Linked DNA regions of Drosophila melanogaster. The protein of the gene in region 1 purifies or fractionates together with the protein of each later gene. This does not show direct contact. Each region holds a gene or a part of one and is shown on either strand. Other genes may lie near its edges. The genes, in order: Idh and betaTub85D.

Evidence for each region.
Region 2: the proteins of Idh (region 1) and betaTub85D purify together in Drosophila melanogaster (affinity purification with mass spectrometry, with the first as the bait; one large-scale study listed by BioGRID). This does not show direct contact.

Annotation. Positions count from the first base shown.
Region 1 is NT_037436.4:8,353,114-8,363,899, reverse strand, and holds Idh (isocitrate dehydrogenase), read left to right. Parts: upstream 1-4,959; 5' UTR 4,960-5,242; coding exon 5,243-5,344; intron 5,345-5,774; exon of another isoform or gene 5,775-5,827; coding exon 5,828-5,884; intron 5,885-5,964; coding exon 5,965-7,245; 3' UTR 7,246-7,496; downstream 7,497-10,786. Other genes in the region: Culd (CUB and LDLa domain), read left to right, coding at 7,692-7,895, 7,958-8,288, 8,352-8,756, 9,290-9,658, 9,717-10,421, 10,488-10,786.
Region 2 is NT_033777.3:9,406,860-9,416,958, forward strand, and holds betaTub85D (beta-Tubulin at 85D), read right to left. Parts: upstream 3,424-10,099; 5' UTR 3,194-3,423; coding exon 2,801-3,193; intron 2,742-2,800; coding exon 1,794-2,741; 3' UTR 1,524-1,793; downstream 1-1,523. Other genes in the region: CG8135 (uncharacterized protein), read left to right, coding at 1-202, 263-850; CG44261 (uncharacterized protein), read right to left, coding at 990-1,286; Task7 (TWIK-related acid-sensitive K[+] channel 7), read right to left, coding at 3,898-4,171, 4,227-4,627, 4,682-4,743, 4,810-4,965, 5,029-5,158; alpha-Man-IIa (alpha-Mannosidase class II a), read left to right, coding at 5,835-5,948, 6,002-6,531, 6,864-8,336, 8,571-9,633, 9,730-9,879. UniProt on the Drosophila melanogaster protein: Tubulin is the major constituent of microtubules, a cylinder consisting of laterally associated linear protofilaments composed of alpha- and beta-tubulin heterodimers.

The DNA.
Region 1 (10,786 bases):
AAGCAACTCAGAAATGTGTTTTATTTGCATTCCGAATCATTTTGTAGATCATATATTTCCTCAGGTTTTACATAGATACAAAGTTTTTAATGTAATGACCGAATTGCAGGGTATAAAGATATTCATAATTTGCACTCATATGCACGTGCTACATTCATTTTCAAAAGCCATTCACAATATCTGCAAGTTATTGGCAAAGTTTCCTAGTTGACAACGTCAACGCCTTTCACCTGATCGACTGATGAACAATGCTTTGCCGTCTGAATCAGACGGGTAGTCAAATTAAAAACCAATCAAATCGATGGGAAGTAAATAATGCCGCATAAGACGAAGACGAACCCAAGTCCAGTGCCTTAGTAGCCCACATCGTCAATGGTGGGCTAAGATCTGGCTATTTTTGTACCGTCTTAGCATAAATTTGCATAAGCAGTAAAGTCCGATACATAACTGTAAATATAATGAAACGAGCGCTTGATAAATAACATGAAAAAGCCTTCTAGAAGATCGAAGAAGCGACCACGCCAAGAAAGTGATATGGAGCAGTCGAAGATTTCCTTTCCATGCATTCTACTCGTAAAAGACATTTGCATCTGGGCTGGGCGAGAAATGAAATATGTGCCATACCAGATCGGCAATGCGATTAAGATATCAACTTTGGTTCGAGCCTCCCCTCACCTACCAAAAAAAAAAAAAAAAAAGCAGCTCCACAAAGATTGGAGATGAGTTGAAAGCGCTTTGAATATTTGGAGTGCTGAGTGATGAGACCTGGAGAAATTGAGACGAAACTTCAAAGTGGGATGACACCTGGTCCCTGTTCGGGCGCCATTCTGATACTGCTATTCCTGTGCGAATGTATCATTATAGTCATATTTATATAAAATTTAAAGAAATCTTTATAATATACTTATGACCTTTTCTAACTTTATATTTATGGCAATAAGCATCTAAATAAGCTAATTTCTTTGAATTCAGTCATACAGCTTAGAAGACTTGATGAGTTGGTCTGCCGTTCAGCACGCTCCCATCGCTAGCTCCATTGAAATGGAAACTGGCCAGGCTTACTAGCTTACTAGCTAACTGGCTAACTGGCTAACTGACCAACTGACTGACTGACAGCCGCACATCGCGTCTTTAGAAATGGCGCACAAAAGACAAGCTGCTGCTGCTGCTGCTGTTCAGCATAGGAGTTGGTTCGTTTTGGTCTGTTTTTTTTTTTGTTTTTTGTTTCGTATGTTGTTTTTGTTTTCTTCTTCTGTTTGACGAAATTGACTTTCTCCATTCAATATAATTAATAGTAATATTCCGATGCCTTGGCTACACACACGTCTTCAGAATGGTAACAACCAAAGACACACGGCCGCTTGGAATGTGGACAGGAAGTAATTTGTTATTGCAGGCGTGCATTAGAGATCGAAAGGCGTTCGAATATCCATCACATCACAGCAAGATCCGCTGCACGTGCACGGCATCTCAGTGGGTGAATTCCTCGTGGGGGCCAAAGGGAATTCGCACCGCACCACGGGGCGTATGGGTAACAAGTGAAAAGTGTGGAATGCTAGCCGTTCACCCGGGCGCATGAGTGATGTGCGCCGGTATTTACGAGCATTTTTCTATACGTATTTAAAGATCTGCCACATATTGTTATTTATGCAAATTGTCTTCATTCGAGGGCGCTGGCTACTGCTCACTTTCAAAACGACAGACAGAAAACATATTTAGCTAATATTTAGGATGGCTTCTTCTGCTGTTTCTACTGCTGCTTTTACTTTTCTCCTTAGCATTCCGCTGGCTGAAACTAAAAGTAGTTTACCAGACGCTTCTGTCTTGGGTTTAATTTTTTTTTGTCATCTGTTTACATAACGAGGAACCACAAAAAAAAAGTAATAGTTTAACAATGCCAACTAACAAATAAGGCAGTGCGGGCACGCACTCCACGAAACTATCTGCCATCCGATGTGTGAATGATGTGCCTGGGCAAGAGCAAGTGGCCAAGTGGCAACCAGTGGCCATTTCACGTTCATTGACATGGCTAATGGCGGGTACTGATGGTTCCATCCAGCAAGGTGAAGTGAAGTGGTGCAGGGCAGAAAACCAAAGCACGTTTACATTGAGGTTTCGCCGGCACGCGTTTATTTTACCTGAGAGGATGGGCCAAAACCGAATATGTTATTTAATGCATTGGCATGCACAAATTAAGACACGTTATAATTGGGGGTTATATAAGCGAGCATAAACGGCGCTTATCTAATGCCACACGGCAAAAGCAAAGAAAGCGTCGCAATTAGACGAGTTTTCTAGCCAGTTTTTGTCAAATAATAGGCCCAAGATCGAGTGATTTTCATGCATGTTCGGTTGGCTGTCGCCGCATTTGATGTTTTCCATGATGTTTGAAAATGCTTATCGGGTGCGGTCCCTAATGAGATGGGTAACTATTTATCTAGGGGGGAAAATAAAATATGTAATTTTGCGCGATAAGAATAACAACGGAACATGTTAATGAGCATTTTCTTGTTTCGTCATTCAATAACTAATTCAATGATTTTATTATCATTACTGAATATCCCACATTCCTTTCAACTGTCCAAACTATGCGAAAGAACGTAGCATTCGCGTCTTAATGGCAGCACACTTTCGCATATTAAAGGCGGTCACAACAAAAGATGGCAATTTTAAATTTTTTTTGCATATTTAAGACCAGTTAAACGGCGCCGGCTAACATTTCACTTTTGGAGCACATTTTATGGATTTTCTTTTAGCGTCATTAAAGCAAACGAACGCACGCTGCTCTCACAAGTTGCGGTAATTGAGAATTCAAATTTTATGTTTGGCGGTTCAGCAAGACGAACTAATACTGAGTGCTGCAGAACTCGAGAGTAAAGCTTAAAGTTCGTGAGAAAGCTCTTCGCAAGCAGCTGATTGAATAACATGTTTTTATCTACGGAATTATCTTCCACACGCGCCACCTCTTGCTCTTTATTGTTGTCGTCGCCAAATCAGTTTCAGTTATTCGCTGCGTCTGATTGGGAGTGGTTCGAGATCTTTCGGTCTGCAATTTAATTAGTCTGTGCTCTAACATTCTAAATTCGGCATTTTAAATATTCTAAAAGGTAAGTGGAGCATTTGTTTAGCCTTATATAAACCGGTTCACACTCCACGCCAAACACCCACACTTCCGATCGCATTCCGCCCAGCTATTTACTGCACTCAAAGGCTGACTTGCAATTTATCTGAGCAAATAAAAAATGGTGGATTTCCAGATCGGTTGCAATACGTAAATTTGCCGCAATTCAAGCCTCCTTAATGCAAATAAGTTGCGCATTTTAACTTTATGCATAACCTCTGGCCCAACCTATTTGGGCCCGAACTTTCCCCACCGGTCTGTTTTCATATGCATTTTATTTGTCTGCCGCTGTTTTGTTTTTTTCTTTGCACCGGTTTGCCTCCTCGAAAAAGAGAGATACGGATAAAAAAAGTGTGAAGAGACGACAGTGTGAAAGAGGGGGATATATGTGGAGAGAGAGAGACACGTAACCCATTCGACAGGCCTTTTCACATCCACCTGATTCTCCAGGTGCTGTCCAAAGTTTAATCTTGAATTCGTGTCGACAGTTTTAATTAAACCTATACAATTACTATGCATATCTACAAATAGATGGTTCGAGAAAACCTCCAGATAGCTCGTATCTCATTGGGACTTTTGCATGCACAATTTGGAAATGTTTTTAACTTTCTAAGTTTGTCCTATGTTTTGAGTGCTTAAACAACTTAAACAGTCGACGTTTATTTTTTTCATTTATCAAACTAGAAGTCAGATCTGAATACAATTAATTACTATAATTAGATTATCGTAAACTTATATTTGATAAGGATAGATGGACTCTTTTATTAACTTGTCAGTCGAAAAATTAAAACCATAATTTTATTAGGTTTTCTTTTTTATTTCTAGCGAATTTTGTATTAACAGTTTCATAAAGTTCAAGGGTCAAAAGTCATCATGCAATCTTTTTATTTCAACAATAAATATTTCTGGGACTAGAAAAACACCAGATGAGAAAATATCAGATTAGATCTAGATAATTTATTCGCCCCGTCATTACCAGCTTATTTACCAATCGCAAGTCTTATCAATATCGTACTATGTTCGAATTCTCCCAGTTGGACTAGAAAAAAAAACGCTTGTGAAATTCGTTTGGTGAAAGCATAAATATTGTTATTATATATAATTGTGGGCGTGGCCTCAGCTTATGGCGTGTTCGGCGATCGCGCCACCTCAATATGTTAATTAGGTACACATGTACCTATAAAGACTTAGAGATATTTATATTAAAGTCAGACAATGGATCTATTAAATATGAGAAGAAAAATCCAAAAAAACATCACGCAATTGCTATTTTAATTTGGAAGTAAATGGCATTGACTGAGTAGATAAGAATGGTAGACGTTTCAAGATAATCAGAGCGAGCCTCCTTCGCAACAAAAAAAAAAAAAGATTGGCGCCCAAGTTCAAATATTATCTAAGCTTTAACATGTCAGTTCGACTATCGTTATCGATAGTACCGCACGTACCAGCTGATTTTGAATTCGGGTGAAGTTGAATAAATAAGCTTAATGCCACGCGCTTTTCTAATTTGTATTCCTTATCAAAACAAGTCGGCCGTGAACTTTAAATAAAAGTGGCTAGCCCGCAATAGTGGAAAAGTTTTTCGCCAGCTGATAAACGCAACAGTTGTCATTCGGAAGAGAGGGACAATGCCACCCGCAATGCGAAAGCGATTGACAAGTCAGCCGGCGATAACGATTACATGTTTACGCGTTCGCCGAGTGCTTATTGTTTTTTATACTCTCGTTACATTATTAATTAAAACACTTGCTTTTAAGTGTGCCGAGTGTTGTGAGAGCAGCTTATCAAAGTCCGAGGTTCTAAATCTTATCTGACTGGGCATTTAGAACGTTGTGATTACGCCGATTGCGCAACAATTTGACGATTGTACGCCACCCAAGAGAGTCGGAAACTGTAGCGCTTAACGGCACTTTACAGTTATCAGTTACGGTTAGAGCGCGTCTGACGCCCACAGCATTTAATTTTGCTTTGTCCGAAAATTGTTCTCTTTCCCGGGACTCCAGTGTCATATTGTCTCGTATTGTTTCACATTGGTGACAAACACTATCGTCTCTCGTTTCCAGTCGTCGGTCGGTTCATTCATAATAATAATACCCACATCCACACCAATCCGGTTGTAAAATGTTCGCCCTGCGCCGCACAGCCGCAATGATGACGTCGGTCCACCGGCAGCCGCATCTCAGCCAGGCCGTTTTTCGGGCCAATTTCGCCATCAGCGCCGCGGTAGGTCCTCCTTGTATCCTCGCCCTCTGTCGCTCTAAATCTCTTTGCTTACTAAATTTCGGAATAGGGTGGGTCGATGAGCAGGAGAAAAAGATATTTTGAATTTTTTGAAGTCGGTCTCAATATTAAGATTATAAACAATCACGTAGTCACCTGTGCTGCTAGCATCCGATAAATAGGATTACTATATTTACTGTTTATACAAAAAAATTGAACAATTTTTTCTTAAATTTATAACCTATGAATGCAAAGTAGAGATATTAACTTTTAGGCAAGTACCTTAATAATTACGTCGTCACGACGAAATATTAAATATTACAAAGTAAAGATAAGGGATTACTTTTGAAACACGGTGTATTTTAATTTCCATCCATCAATATCGACCCACCCTATCCCAGGCTGATCAAAGTTTACTTTGCTTTGACCAGTTGTCAGTTTATTATCGTCATACATATAAGTTTCGCCTGTATCGCCTGTGCTTAGGACCCCAAAACCCATAAGATATCCATGGATAATGAAAGGATGTCCGCCGTGAGCGAGGTGAATACCCCAATACCGCAGCATTCAGACACAAATCCATTTTTCATGTAGCTAATAAGATTCCCATCCTGCCCTTCAAGCACTCAAGTGTGGTATGCTCTCCCGAACAGATGGCCCAGAAGATCAAAGCCGGTCCCGTTGTGGATGTCCTCGGTGACGAGATGACCCGCATCATTTGGGACTCCATTAAGAGCCAACTGATTCTGCCCTTCCTGGACATTGAGCTGCATACCTACGATCTTGGTATTGAGAACCGCGATAAAACCGAGGACCAGGTCACCATTGACTGTGCTGAGGCCATCAAGAAGTACAACGTGGGCATCAAGTGCGCCACAATCACTCCCGACGAGAAGCGCGTAGAGGAGTTCAACCTGAAGAAGATGTGGAAGTCGCCCAACGGTACCATCCGTAACATCTTGGGAGGAACCGTCTTCCGTGAGGCAATCATCTGCAAGAACGTGCCCCGTCTGGTGACTGGCTGGCAGAAGCCTATTGTGATCGGTCGCCATGCCCACGCCGATCAGTACAAGGCCGTCGACTACGTGGTTCCCGGACCCGGCAAGCTGACCCTCACCTGGAAGGGAACCGACGGTCAGGTGATCGATGAGGTCATTAATGACTTCAAGGGCCCCGGTATTGCCCTGGGAATGTTCAACACGGACGATTCCATTGTGGACTTTGCCCACGCCTCTTTCAAATATGCTCTGGACCGCAAGCTGCCGCTGTACATGAGCACCAAGAACACCATTCTGAAGAAGTACGATGGACGCTTCAAGGACATATTCGAGGACCTGTACAACAAGCAGTACAAGAAGGAGTACGAGGCGGCGGGCATCTGGTATGAACACCGTCTCATCGACGATATGGTTGCTTATGCCATGAAGTCGGAGGGTGGCTTCGTGTGGGCCTGCAAGAACTACGACGGTGATGTGCAGTCGGACTCCGTTGCCCAGGGCTACGGATCTCTGGGTCTGATGACCTCCGTGCTGCTATGCCCCGATGGCAAGACCGTGGAGGCTGAAGCCGCTCACGGAACGGTGACGCGTCACTTCCGCTTCTACCAGCAGGGCAAGGAGACCTCCACCAACCCCATTGCCTCGATATTCGCCTGGACCCGTGGCCTGCTGCATCGTGCCAAGCTGGACAACAATGAGCCACTGAAGCAGTTCGCCGACACCCTTGAGCAGGTGTGCATCGACACAATTGAGAGCGGCGCCATGACCAAGGATCTGGCCATCTGCATTAAAGGCAACATCAACGCCGTTACTCGCAGGGACTACCAGGAGACTTTTGAGTTCATTAACACGCTGGCCAAGAACCTGGAGGGTGCCCTGGCCAAGAATGCCGTTGCTGCCAAATGACTATCCGGCACTCAGTCCGAGCAGCAGGCCTCGCATCTCTAGAAAACTACTCAGCGATGCCTTGTCCTCGTCACCATATTCACAATATTTCCATTCGTTTTTGTAGATGTGCATGTCCTAGGCTAAAAATCCGTGTCCTCGATGCATGTTTCCCACTGTTTCATTGTCTCTGCGAGACGCAAAAAAAAACCCTGATTTCCCTTTAACGTCTAACGGAAAAGAAATTTCAAATAAATGTATTTTTATACCGGACTCGAGAGGTCTTTAACCCAGTCGAGGGTGGGCTCGTTACGAGGCCCGGTCCACTTGTGCGGCTTCTGATGGCTCTGGGTTTATTGGATTTGCCAGCGAAATGGCCACAGTTGTGTTCTAACACTTGGCGGCACCAGACCGAGACGGTTCAAGCGGAAGGGGCTCAGGATCCTGTTAGAAGGACGAAACTATCGATGCTAGCCGAAGCATTGGGCTATGGCTACCTGCTGGCCTACGTGATCTGCCTGCTCTGCTGGCCAGGAGAGGCGTATCCCGCCAGCAGTAGCTACCGGGATCTGGATATATGCAATCATTGGGACGGAAGACGTCACTTCCTGGAACTGGGAAGTCCAGCTGGAGAGGTGCACGCCAGGAATGTGACTACTACTGCCTATAGAGTAAGTGTATTTACAAGCTTCTCCAGACGGGATTTGGTCAGCAATTATGAACTTAAAAACAGAGCTCGCCGCTGGTTTTTAAGAACGATGCAGTGGCCGGGGATGTGTGGTACCAGTGCAGCCTGGAGCTGGTCACCTGTGCCGAGTGCGTCATCCGAGTGGCCTTCACCTATGCCAACTTCTCCAAAAGTTGCGGCAATACGGGTGGCAAGTCCAGCATGTGTCCCTGCGAGCATATCCAGTTCTCGGAGCCGCCCTATGATTCCACCATTTCCGGCCAAGAGTTCTGTGGAGATGGCAAGGTGTTTCGGAGCAAAACCAGGACACTGCAGTTGAAATTCTTCTACAGAGCCAGCAATGCGCACGTGTTCTCCCTTCAATACTTCTCGGAACGTAAGATTTAGAATCAGTTGGTAGGTTTTTAAGAATGCTCTATCCGGATTTCCCTCGGAATAGGCAACGTGCGGATAGTCAGTGGCTCCCCCAAGCAGTCTATTGTGGGCAATGGGAGTACAAAGTCCCAGCCACAAGTGATCTCCACGCCGTATTTCCCGATGGCATATCCACGCGACTATGGTATCGAACACATCCTCACCTGCGAGGCGGACAACTGCCAGGTGCGTTTGGATTTTACCGACTTCCAGCTGGGCCTCACCTCCACCCTAGAGATCTTCGACTCCAATGGCCAGATGCTGGACTCCTATACGGGTGAGCACTTCCGTCCGCCGATCACGGTGAGCAGCGGCAAGTCTCTGCTCCTGCAGTTTCGAGGAAATTCCGCCACCGGAGTGGGTTTTCGCGCGGAGGTTAGCTTCGTATCCTCCAAGCAGCTCAAGGACGAGCGACTGGTGCCCTACACAGGTAAGTGAATGGGTTGCAGTGCACTGAACAAAAACTAAGACTATCAAACAACTCAGATCTAAGGTTAAAACACAAATATTCCGCAGGATTAAAAAATTCGAGGTTTTTAAAAGTATAGAACATTATGCTTATCTTCATTTTAGAACTCGCAGATTGATTAACTTTTTAAATGGATTAGTATATCTTTTCTCTGTAGGAATAGGGACATTTTAATGATTTTCGGATTAGTCGAGCACTTGAAAGTCTGCAGGCAATTGTCATATTGATTTTGGCGAAGGTAGTGGGTGGGGTGGGCACTTGGCGAATATCAATGTCAATGCAAGGCGTTGAAGTGGAAACTGGGTGACTCTGGTTGGGTTCGGTTTGGTAAGACAATCGATTTCTTGGATCATTGCCCGTAGGGTGGTTGGCAAATACTTGTATATAATCCGGAATGGGGTTGGTTATGCACTATTGCGACAGGTTGGATCACAATGCATGATGCAAGAGCACATAAATAAATGCTTATGTACATATCTCTATTACACCTCTAGATTGCGGGGGAATGGTTACCGGACCTGGTGGCGCCATCACCATGATGAACATGATCGAAAATGCCACGGACGTGCGGCTGTTTGACTGCATCTGGATTATAAAGCCCGGCAACAACTACATGATGATGAAAACCCACATCTCGTTGAGAGTGGATGACTTCTACGGCATGGCCGCCAGATCTGAGCTCACAATACGGCAGGGCACCACCTCGGATGCCGTGGAGATCGAGAATGTGATGTGGCCGAACAATGGGCTGAGCAAGGAGAGTCATGTGGCGCCCATCCTCAATGGCTACTACATTCGACTGCGTGGGGTATTCGGGATGTCCTCCAAGCTGGCCATCGTCTACAGCGTGTTCAACTACTTGAGTGAGTTCGATTGGAAAATTTAAATTTAATGTTTAATTAACCAATTCGAATTGCTTAGATTGCTATATTGGCTCGGAGTTTCTGTGCGGGAACAATCACTGCATATCCATTCGCCTCCACTGCGATGGCTTCGACCATTGTGGGGATGGCAGCGATGAGCCGGATTCCTGCGAGGAGGACTGGGCACACCTGCATCACGATCGTCGCTGGTACTCTCACAAGCCCAACTATTATTTCCCCAAGATAGACCAGTATCCAGATCTTAAGACGGCCACGGGAATCTTTATCATCAGCACACTTGGCATATTTGGTGTGCTGTCCGGCTGGATGGTGATCCTGTACAGGATGGGGGTTAGAGCACGACACCAACGTGAGCTTCAAAGCCACCTGCAGACGATCAGTGAGCTGTTGGATCGCCAGGACGAGGATCGCACGCCCGATGAGCCACCCAGCTACGAGGCACCACCCGATTACGAGGAGGTCATCAAGGTAGGAATGCAACAGGAGCTACGGGAGCCACGTCGCCAGAGACGGGCCCGTCGAGCTCCGCCTAGAGATCGGAGCTGCAGTCGCGCCGCAAGCAATTGCACCGTGCAATCGGTACTCCCACTGCATCGCAGCTGCACCCTGGAAAGGGATCAAGAACAGCCCAGTACCTCGGCGGCGGCAATGACCCATGCGGTGGCTGCCACGGATACAACGGAGGATGCCGAACACGTCCAGACGATGGCCCAGCGAATGCTCCTCGCCACGGCTATTTGTGGTAGGTCGAGAGTTCCCCCAATCCCGCCCTGCAGTCGCTAACTTACCCACAGAGTCCCACTTGCAGGCACTGCAGGCACGTCTCTCCCGGCAGCAAAGGAGTCAGGGCAGCGGGTCCAATCCGTGGGGATTTCAACGAGCCCGTCATCGTTATCCGCTGGGGGTGAACTACCCACAGCAGGTGGGTCAGCCACAACGCCCGGCAGCACGGCAGATGAGTGCACCCAGGGAGGCGACTCACTTAGCATTTCACTCACTCTAGGCTTGCCCTCCACCACGGCAGAGAGTCCTGTGACAACCGACCAGAACCAATTGCAGAAACAAAGTCCGGAGCAGACAATCAGCAATTGCACGGAGCACACCTTC
Region 2 (10,099 bases), on another chromosome or scaffold:
GGTTGTTCTATGCTACTTCTTCTACTGCACTTACTCCACGATCTTGAGGATACGCTTCCTTAATCTCTACTACCTGGCACCGCATCACCAGACCAACGAGCACAGTCTGATCTTCAGCGGCATGCTGCTGTGCCGTCTGACACCACCCATGTGCCTCAACTTCCTGGGTCTCATCCATATGGACACACACATTATTCCCAACGTGAGTAGTAAACATGTTCGTAAACACTGAATTACTGAAAATTTATAAACTATTCCTCAGCGCATTATGGAGACGGTGTACACGCAGATCATGGGCCACATGGATGTTATTGGCATCATCTCGAACGGCTTCAATATCTACTTCCCAATGTGTATGCTGGCCTTCTGTCTGGCCACTTGGTTTAGCCTCGGCAGTCGGGCACTGAATGCTCTCGGCTTCCAGCAGTTCCTGCAAAACGAAACTATTGCTACCGAACTGGTGCAGGAGGGAAAGGATCTTATAGCGCGGGAAAAGCGCCGCCGCCAGCGTGCCGAGGAGGCGATGGCCAGACGCCGTGACTTCAACCGAACCGATCAGGTTCTGGGCAGCGATTACTTGAGCAAATACCGGAGTGGTGGACCCGGTGGACTAACCAGTAGTCGCACGCCCGCCGACGGGCTGCTGCGCGATGGCGACGGCAGCTTTGACTATGCGGCAGTGGCTTCTTCCTCTGCACTGGGCGTACCGCGATCCCTGTCGGAGGAGATCAACGACCGTTTCGGTGTGAGCACTCAGGTGCAGGTGGGATTCCGAGACCCCGACTACGAGGCGGAGACAGATGGTCGAATTGTCGGCCCACCACCCCGAGGACTCTTCGACGATGTCTAGACTTTGGATATGGATAACTCTTTATTTCAATTCGTTACCGAGTATCTCAATATTTCGCTCGCGCTTAAGTATTTCCCGATGCCACTGCTGCTGCTGCTGTTCCTTTACACCCATGTAGACCATTCAGTTGAATAAACCACTAAAGAGGATTCTTATCCATCTTTCGAAGGGAGTAGCGCGGTTCGTTGCTGCTCTCCTGGCTAGTGTCCAGACCACTATCCGTGCTGGTGTCCTGCGCCTCCACGTTCATCGAGATGTCCGTCTCCGATGAGTAGCTTGAGCTGATTGATTCTTCTAGATCAACATTTGTGCTATCCTGGTCGTCTTCCGACGTCGGTTTTCCACTCTGCAGTTGCGATATGGGATGCGGATTTATGCGCTTTCGGCCGCGCAGATAGCCACTGCGAGAGGTAACTGGAGTAGTCGGAAAATACATCTTGGTGCCTTGACTTCAATGACTTGAATGACTTGAATGATGACGGCCTGTCAGAAAGGAAAGCTGTCACTTTCGTAAGGCAACTCTAAAAAATGATTGCCAACAAAATATAGATTTTCGATATTGAGCGCTTAGCCTCAAATTCAATTCAATCCAGAATATTTATATATTAATGTTTAGGTTTATGCAATGCCTTTTGAACGGTATAAAAATATGCAAAATGCTGTTGGTAATCTTGTCTGCTTATAAATCAACATTTATTCGTAACCCAGAAATCACAGCAATTGCAACATGAGCTTAACAAAGGTGGACATATTTCTTCTGTACGTGTGTGAATGATAAATAATCGAACAGTGAAGAATCCATATAGGAAATATGTACAACCGACGGGCCTCGAAGCACAATATGCTAAGGCCCAAAGATCCAATGTGTTGTGCCTTCCTAATGGGTTCCCCTGCTAGCCTGTTTTGGTGTTCATGTGTGATCTTGAGTGGGAAGTTAATCCTATTATTCATCGCCGCCACCCTCTTCGTCTTCATCGAATTCGCCCTCCTCATCGGCAGTCGCCTCCTGGTACTGCTGATATTCAGAAACCAAGTCGTTCATGTTGCTCTCGGCCTCTGTGAATTCCATTTCGTCCATTCCCTCGCCGGTGTACCAATGCAAGAAGGCCTTCCTTCGGAACATGGCGGTGAACTGCTCCGAAACCCGTTTGAATAGCTCCTGAATGGCGGTGGAGTTGCCAATGAAGGTGGCCGACATCTTGAGACCTCTGGGCGGAATATCGCACACCGCTGTCTTGCAGTTATTCGGGATCCATTCCACGAAGAAGCTGCTGTTCTTGTTCTGAATGTTGAGCATCTGCTCGTCCACCTCCTTCATGGACATGCGGCCACGGAAGATGGCGGCGACGGTCAGATAGCGACCATGTCGCGGATCGCACGCAGCCATCATGTTCTTGGCATCGAACATCTGCTGGGTCAGCTCCGGAACGGTAAGGGCCCGGTATTGTTGCGATCCTCGCGAGGTGAGCGGTGCGAATCCGGGCATGAAGAAGTGCAGCCGGGGGAAGGGTACCATGTTCACGGCCAGCTTGCGAAGATCAGCGTTCAGCTGGCCAGGGAAGCGCAGGCAGGTCGTCACACCAGACATGGTGGCCGAAACCAGATGGTTCAGGTCACCGTAGGTGGGCGTGGTCAGCTTCAGTGTGCGGAAGCAGATGTCATACAACGCCTCGTTGTCGATGCAGTACGTCTCATCGGTGTTCTCCACCAGCTGATGCACACTCAGGGTGGCATTGTAGGGCTCCACCACCGTATCGGACACCTTGGGCGAGGGCACCACCGAGAAGGTGTTCATGATGCGGTCCGGGTACTCCTCGCGGATCTTCGAGATCAGCAGGGTTCCCATGCCGGAGCCAGTGCCGCCACCCAGCGAGTGGGTCAGCTGGAAGCCCTGTTGGAGAAAAGTAGGGTAAACTTTTTCAGATAAATTCCCAAACCCCCAAAACTTACCTGAAGGCAATCGCATCCCTCGGACTCCTTTCGCACCACATCCAAGACGGAATCCACCAGTTCAGCACCCTCGGTGTAATGACCCTTGGCCCAGTTGTTGCCTGCTCCCGATTGGCCAAACACAAAATTGTCCGGCCGGAAGATCTGGCCAAAGGCGCCAGAACGAACCGAATCCATGGTGCCGGGCTCCAGGTCCACGAGAATTGCGCGTGGCACATACTTGGCACCGGTGGCTTCATTGTAGTATACATTGATGCGCTCCAGCTGGAGATCACTATCGCCGTAGTACGTTCCGGTCGCATCTATACAGTGCTCATCCGAGATTACCTCCCAGAATTTACCACCGATCTGGTTACCGCATTGACCGGCCTGAATGTGTACAATTTCACGCATTTTGATAGTAAAGTTAGGGCCCCTTTTTCACACCGAAAAAATGGTACAAAAAAAAATCGAGCTTTTAAAACAGTCTGAGTGGGGCAAAAATCGGCAAAAGACTGAATATTTAAACGTATAATTTTTCAGGTTTAGATTTTAGTCGTGTACGTGCTAGCTGATACTGAGGTGAACTGAACCTGGCTTGGATTACTACACCGAATGTTCACAAATAGGCTACTACGATTTCCGACTTCGACACATTTCACACACCCCGATTTCAGAAAACTCAGTTCTCCGTTTTGAGCACAAACTTTAATAGTACTTACATAGATAAACGAATATACGGCTAAAATTCGAGATGGGATGGATTTGGCGGTGCCTTGGAAGCAATAGAGGATTCCAAGGCTACCGACCAGATGATACGATTGATATTGACATGGATGTCCTGGATTTTACTCCTTTGTAAATGTTTATATGGGTGTATAATGGGATGGGTCGATTATTTCTTAAGCAAAAACTGCCTTTTAAAGACTATTAACCTTGCTCTCCAAACTTATATGTATTATGACCCATCCTGGTTTAAAAATCTACGTAGGGAGGAAGGTTTGTCTAACAACCAAATTTTGGCGGCGGATGGTTCTCTACAGGATTGTAACTACGATTTGGTGATCCATTGGCTCTGGCTCCTACAATGAGGAGTCCCACAGCTGGCTGTACGGATATCAGACGGAGGCTCGCTTCAGGCACAAGGTGCTCTCGATAATGTCGGTAGGCTGAAAGTCCGGGTCCACGAACTGCTCATGATTCAGGCACCTGGTGCCACCCATGCAGGTGCAGGAACACAGGGAGGCGGTCTCATCGTTCTCCGTTGTGTAGTTGTTCTCCAGCAGCTTGCCGTGCATATTGTACGTGGACTCATCATCGAAGGTCACCGGCTGGGCATTTCCAGCCAAGTTCTGAGCATCCTGCTCATCTCTCTTGGCATCCTCTGCTTGCCTGTGATTAAAAATCCATTAAATAAGATATTTCCTGCAATAGAACATGGACTCACATGGTCATGAATCGGAGCACCAATAGATTGATACTGGCGGCCACCACGGCCAAGCCGAATAGGATGAAGACCAAGCTCAGCGCCACATAGCCAGGCTTATTAGTTAGAGCTTGGTCGTTCTGCAATGCCACATAATCGCCGAAACCAATTGTCGTCAAGGTGACAAAACAATAGTAGAAGCTATCGAAGTAGCTCCAACCCTCGTATCGGGAAAAGACTGCTGCTCCAGTGGTGATTATTATGGAGGAGAGCATTCCGGTGGCCAACATGAGATTCATTTCGGTGGCATCCGTACAGCGAGCTCCACTGGCTCTCTTTGCCCGCCTTATTATCACGGATGCAAACTTATTCAGACGTTCTCCGATAGACTGGAACATCACCAGACCCAGCGGGATGCCCACCTAATAAGGGAATATCTTTAGAAGACTGGAAATTGGGATTGTAAGTTCACTTACCATAGCATAGCCCATACAAAATGCTTTTCCCGGAATTGTAACTGGCGTAGAATGACCATATCCTAAAGAAAGTTACAACAGAATTATAATCTATTCAATAAATCATATTTAATAGATAATTAATTTACCTATCATTGCCAGTACAACCGTGCTGAAATAGAAAGCTCCAGCGAATTTCCACTGAGGTCCGGCCTTGTGGGGCTTATTTTCAATGATGACGATTTCCATCACACGGAAATCCTCGTCAGTCACATTGTACTTTCTAACAAAGTTGTTCTTAACGGCTACAATTGATTAAATAAATTCATTACTAAGAAATTAGGTTAATAAATCAACAAGCTTCTCACTCTGTAGGAATTCCCATCTTTTGGCCTCCGTTGGTGACTCCAGGGAATCGAACACGGCGGCTCCAATTAAAAGATAGGTGAAAGTGCATACCACCAGGGAAAGGGTACGGACATTCTGTCGCTTCATCATATAGTCTCAAATATAATCACTACGATCTATAATCAATTAATATATTTTGCACCACGCGCCTTTTTCGTTCAGTTAAAGATGCTGCGTCTGACAAAATCGATAGTTGTCAGCAAAACAAACACACAGCATCCGCCAAAAATGGTTGATTTCGGTTACAGTGGCCGAATAACATATGATACAATGAATTTTAAAAATTTCATCATTCTTTAAATATGTAATAAGTTTTCTTTTATCTATTGATTTGACCGTTAATCTCAATAAAGGATTGTGATTTTACCGTTAGTTTATCACAACAGAAGCAACAGAATTTGATGGCGTTGCCACTTGGCGGTATCTGTTAACTCTGTACAGCTAAAAAGCTGTAATGTCACGATAACTAAGGATAATAATAATTTTTTTAAAGGATCAATATACACAAACAACATAAGAGTTTTATTACATTTTCTTTAATTGCCTTTAAAGTTTTTGTCTTTCTAAGCCATTTTAACAATTTAACATTTTGCAGTTAGCAGCGCCGATAACTTGACAGCCTATCGATTTTCGGGAAAAGCAAACATATCGCCAGATCTGATTTGTTTATGCTAAAAAAAAACCACGCAAGTTCCAACCGATTGGATTGTTGCAGTTGGCTGCTGTGTCTCTGACGTCGACGTTTCCATGCTTAATTAACCGGAAAATGTTGCGAATACGTCGGCGGTTCGCTTTGGTAATTTGCTCCGGCTGCCTGCTGGTTTTCCTCAGCCTGTACATAATCCTCAATTTTGCGGCGCCGGCAGCCACCCAGATAAAGGTAAATAAATGCTTCTAAATCAATTCGAATGTATAATAACTTCTTTATTTTAGCAGCCCAACTATGAGAACATTGAGAACAAGCTGCATGAGCTGGAAAATGGTTTGCAGGAGCACGGGGAGGAGATGCGGAATCTCAGGGCGCGTCTTGCCGAAACATCCAATCGCGACGATCCAATAAGACCTCCACTTAAAGTGGCTCGTTCCCCGAGGCCAGGGCAATGCCAAGATGTGGTCCAAGACGTGCCCAATGTGGATGTACAGATGCTGGAGCTATACGATCGCATGTCCTTCAAGGACATAGATGGAGGCGTGTGGAAACAGGGCTGGAACATTAAGTACGATCCACTGAAGTACAACGCCCATCACAAACTAAAAGTCTTCGTTGTGCCGCACTCGCACAACGATCCTGGATGGATTCAGACGTTTGAGGAATACTACCAGCACGACACCAAGCACATCCTGTCCAATGCACTACGGCATCTGCACGACAATCCCGAGATGAAGTTCATCTGGGCGGAAATCTCCTACTTTGCTCGGTTCTATCACGATTTGGGAGAGAACAAAAAGCTGCAGATGAAGTCGTAAGCATGCTTTCCCTATATAGTATTGATACAATAATGAATAACGGTAGTTAACCCACAAAACAAAGTGCAATGCCATTTTGCTATTGCATTCCATAAACCTTACACAGTTGTTATGTGCAGCAGTGAAATATTTTACTTCGTTATTGCGTCAAAAGCGTTTAGATAAACAAAATGCATGATCACGCTGCTTGTTTTCCGAAACAGCTTTGTACTTATCTACCTAATATTTATAACCCAAAGCAGAAATAGGAATTGATAAGCTTTGCAGTCTCAACAACTACAATATTTAGTTTTTAACAAAAAATAATAAATTATTTACTTATTTACAGCATTGTAAAGAATGGACAGTTGGAATTTGTGACTGGAGGATGGGTAATGCCGGACGAGGCCAACTCCCACTGGCGAAACGTACTGCTGCAGCTGACCGAAGGGCAAACATGGTTGAAGCAATTCATGAATGTCACACCCACTGCTTCCTGGGCCATCGATCCCTTCGGACACAGTCCCACTATGCCGTACATTTTGCAGAAGAGTGGTTTCAAGAATATGCTTATCCAAAGGACGCACTATTCGGTTAAGAAGGAACTGGCCCAACAGCGACAGCTTGAGTTCCTGTGGCGCCAGATCTGGGACAACAAAGGGGACACAGCTCTCTTCACCCACATGATGCCCTTCTACTCGTACGACATTCCTCACACCTGTGGTCCAGATCCCAAGGTTTGCTGTCAGTTCGATTTCAAACGAATGGGCTCCTTCGGTTTGAGCTGTCCATGGAAGGTGCCGCCGCGTACAATCAGTGATCAAAATGTGGCAGCACGCTCAGATCTGCTGGTTGATCAGTGGAAGAAGAAGGCCGAGCTGTATCGCACGAACGTGCTGCTGATTCCGTTGGGTGACGACTTCCGCTTCAAGCAGAACACCGAGTGGGATGTGCAGCGCGTGAACTACGAAAGGCTGTTCGAACACATCAACAGCCAGGCCCACTTCAATGTCCAGGCGCAGTTCGGCACACTGCAGGAATACTTTGATGCAGTGCACCAGGCGGAAAGGGCGGGACAAGCCGAGTTTCCCACGCTAAGCGGTGACTTTTTCACATACGCCGATCGATCGGATAACTATTGGAGTGGCTACTACACATCCCGCCCGTATCATAAGCGCATGGACCGCGTCCTGATGCACTATGTACGTGCAGCAGAAATGCTTTCCGCCTGGCACTCCTGGGACGGTATGGCCCGCATCGAGGAACGTCTGGAGCAGGCCCGCAGGGAGCTGTCATTGTTCCAGCACCACGACGGTATAACTGGCACAGCAAAAACGCACGTAGTCGTCGACTACGAGCAACGCATGCAGGAAGCTTTAAAAGCCTGTCAAATGGTAATGCAACAGTCGGTCTACCGATTGCTGACAAAGCCCTCCATCTACAGTCCGGACTTCAGTTTCTCGTACTTTACGCTCGACGACTCCCGCTGGCCAGGATCTGGTGTGGAGGACAGTCGAACCACCATAATACTGGGCGAGGATATACTGCCCTCCAAGCATGTGGTGATGCACAACACCCTGCCCCACTGGCGGGAGCAGCTGGTGGACTTTTATGTATCCAGTCCGTTTGTAAGCGTTACCGACTTGGCAAACAATCCGGTGGAGGCTCAGGTGTCCCCGGTGTGGAGCTGGCACCACGACACACTCACAAAGACTATCCACCCACAAGGCTCCACCACCAAGTACCGCATCATCTTCAAGGCTCGGGTGCCGCCCATGGGCTTGGCCACCTACGTTTTAACCATCTCCGATTCCAAGCCAGAGTGAGTAGCCAGTTAAAGATTACCCATTTATCAAAGGAACAAGAATCCTTTCCGTACTTTCTGTATTAATTGTACATTTTCGTAACACGTTTCGCTATGCCGTTTCCTTAAACCATTATAGAGTGCAGGTTTTATTTATTGATATTAATATTTCATTAACCAGATGCCGTAATTGTCTTCTATTTATACTATTTATTTATACTTTTTCAATAAGCATTTCAATGTTACTTACAGGCACACCTCGTATGCATCGAATCTCTTGCTCCGTAAAAACCCGACTTCGTTACCATTGGGCCAATATCCGGAGGATGTGAAGTTTGGCGATCCTCGAGAGATCTCATTGCGGGTTGGTAACGGACCCACCTTGGCCTTTTCGGAGCAGGGTCTCCTTAAGTCCATTCAGCTTACTCAGGATAGCCCACATGTACCGGTGCACTTCAAGTTCCTCAAGTATGGCGTTCGATCGCATGGCGATAGATCCGGTGCCTATCTGTTCCTGCCCAATGGACCAGCTTCGCCAGTCGAGCTTGGCCAGCCAGTGGTCCTGGTGACTAAGGGCAAACTGGAGTCGTCCGTGAGCGTGGGACTTCCGAGCGTGGTGCACCAGACGATAATGCGCGGTGGTGCACCTGAGATTCGCAATCTGGTGGATATAGGCTCACTGGACAACACGGAGATCGTGATGCGCTTGGAGACGCATATCGACAGCGGCGATATCTTCTACACGGATCTCAATGGATTGCAATTTATCAAGAGGCGGCGTTTGGACAAATTACCTTTGCAGGCCAACTATTATCCCATACCTTCTGGTATGTTCATTGAGGATGCCAATACGCGACTCACTCTCCTCACGGGTCAACCGCTGGGTGGATCTTCTCTGGCCTCGGGCGAGCTAGAGATTATGCAAGATCGTCGCCTGGCCAGCGATGATGAACGCGGCCTGGGACAGGGTGTTTTGGACAACAAGCCGGTGCTGCATATTTATCGGCTGGTGCTGGAGAAGGTTAACAACTGTGTCCGACCGTCAGAGCTTCATCCTGCCGGCTATTTGACAAGTGCCGCTCACAAAGCATCGCAGTCACTGCTGGATCCACTGGACAAGTTTATATTCGCTGAAAATGAGTGGATCGGGGCACAGGGGCAATTTGGTGGCGATCATCCTTCGGCTCGTGAGGATCTCGATGTGTCGGTGATGAGACGCTTAACCAAGAGCTCGGCCAAAACCCAGCGAGTAGGCTACGTTCTGCACCGCACCAATCTGATGCAATGCGGCACTCCAGAGGAGCATACACAGAAGGTGAGCTTAGAAGTTTATTATATTAATATCAAAGAAAGTGGAAATGGTATTTATTTATAATTAACAATATTGTTTGACTAATTGTTCGTTCGTCAGCTGGATGTGTGCCACCTACTGCCGAATGTGGCGAGATGCGAGCGCACGACGCTGACTTTCCTGCAGAATTTGGAGCACTTGGATGGCATGGTGGCGCCGGAAGTGTGCCCCATGGAAACCGCCGCTTATGTGAGCAGTCACTCAAGCTGATCGCAACGTGTTATGGCAAAGGATAAAGCAGAAACTGAAGCCAAGCGACCATCTCACAACCTATGAATCTCGGACGCTAATCCACTGCAATACAGGCAATCTTCGTTTAATGTTCGACTTAAGCACTGACTGCACCGAAAGACGTAATGCGTAATCCATACTACGTATCATTTATTTATTCAAGCTTCCACACGAGGGTTTGGAAATTCAATCCTATGAC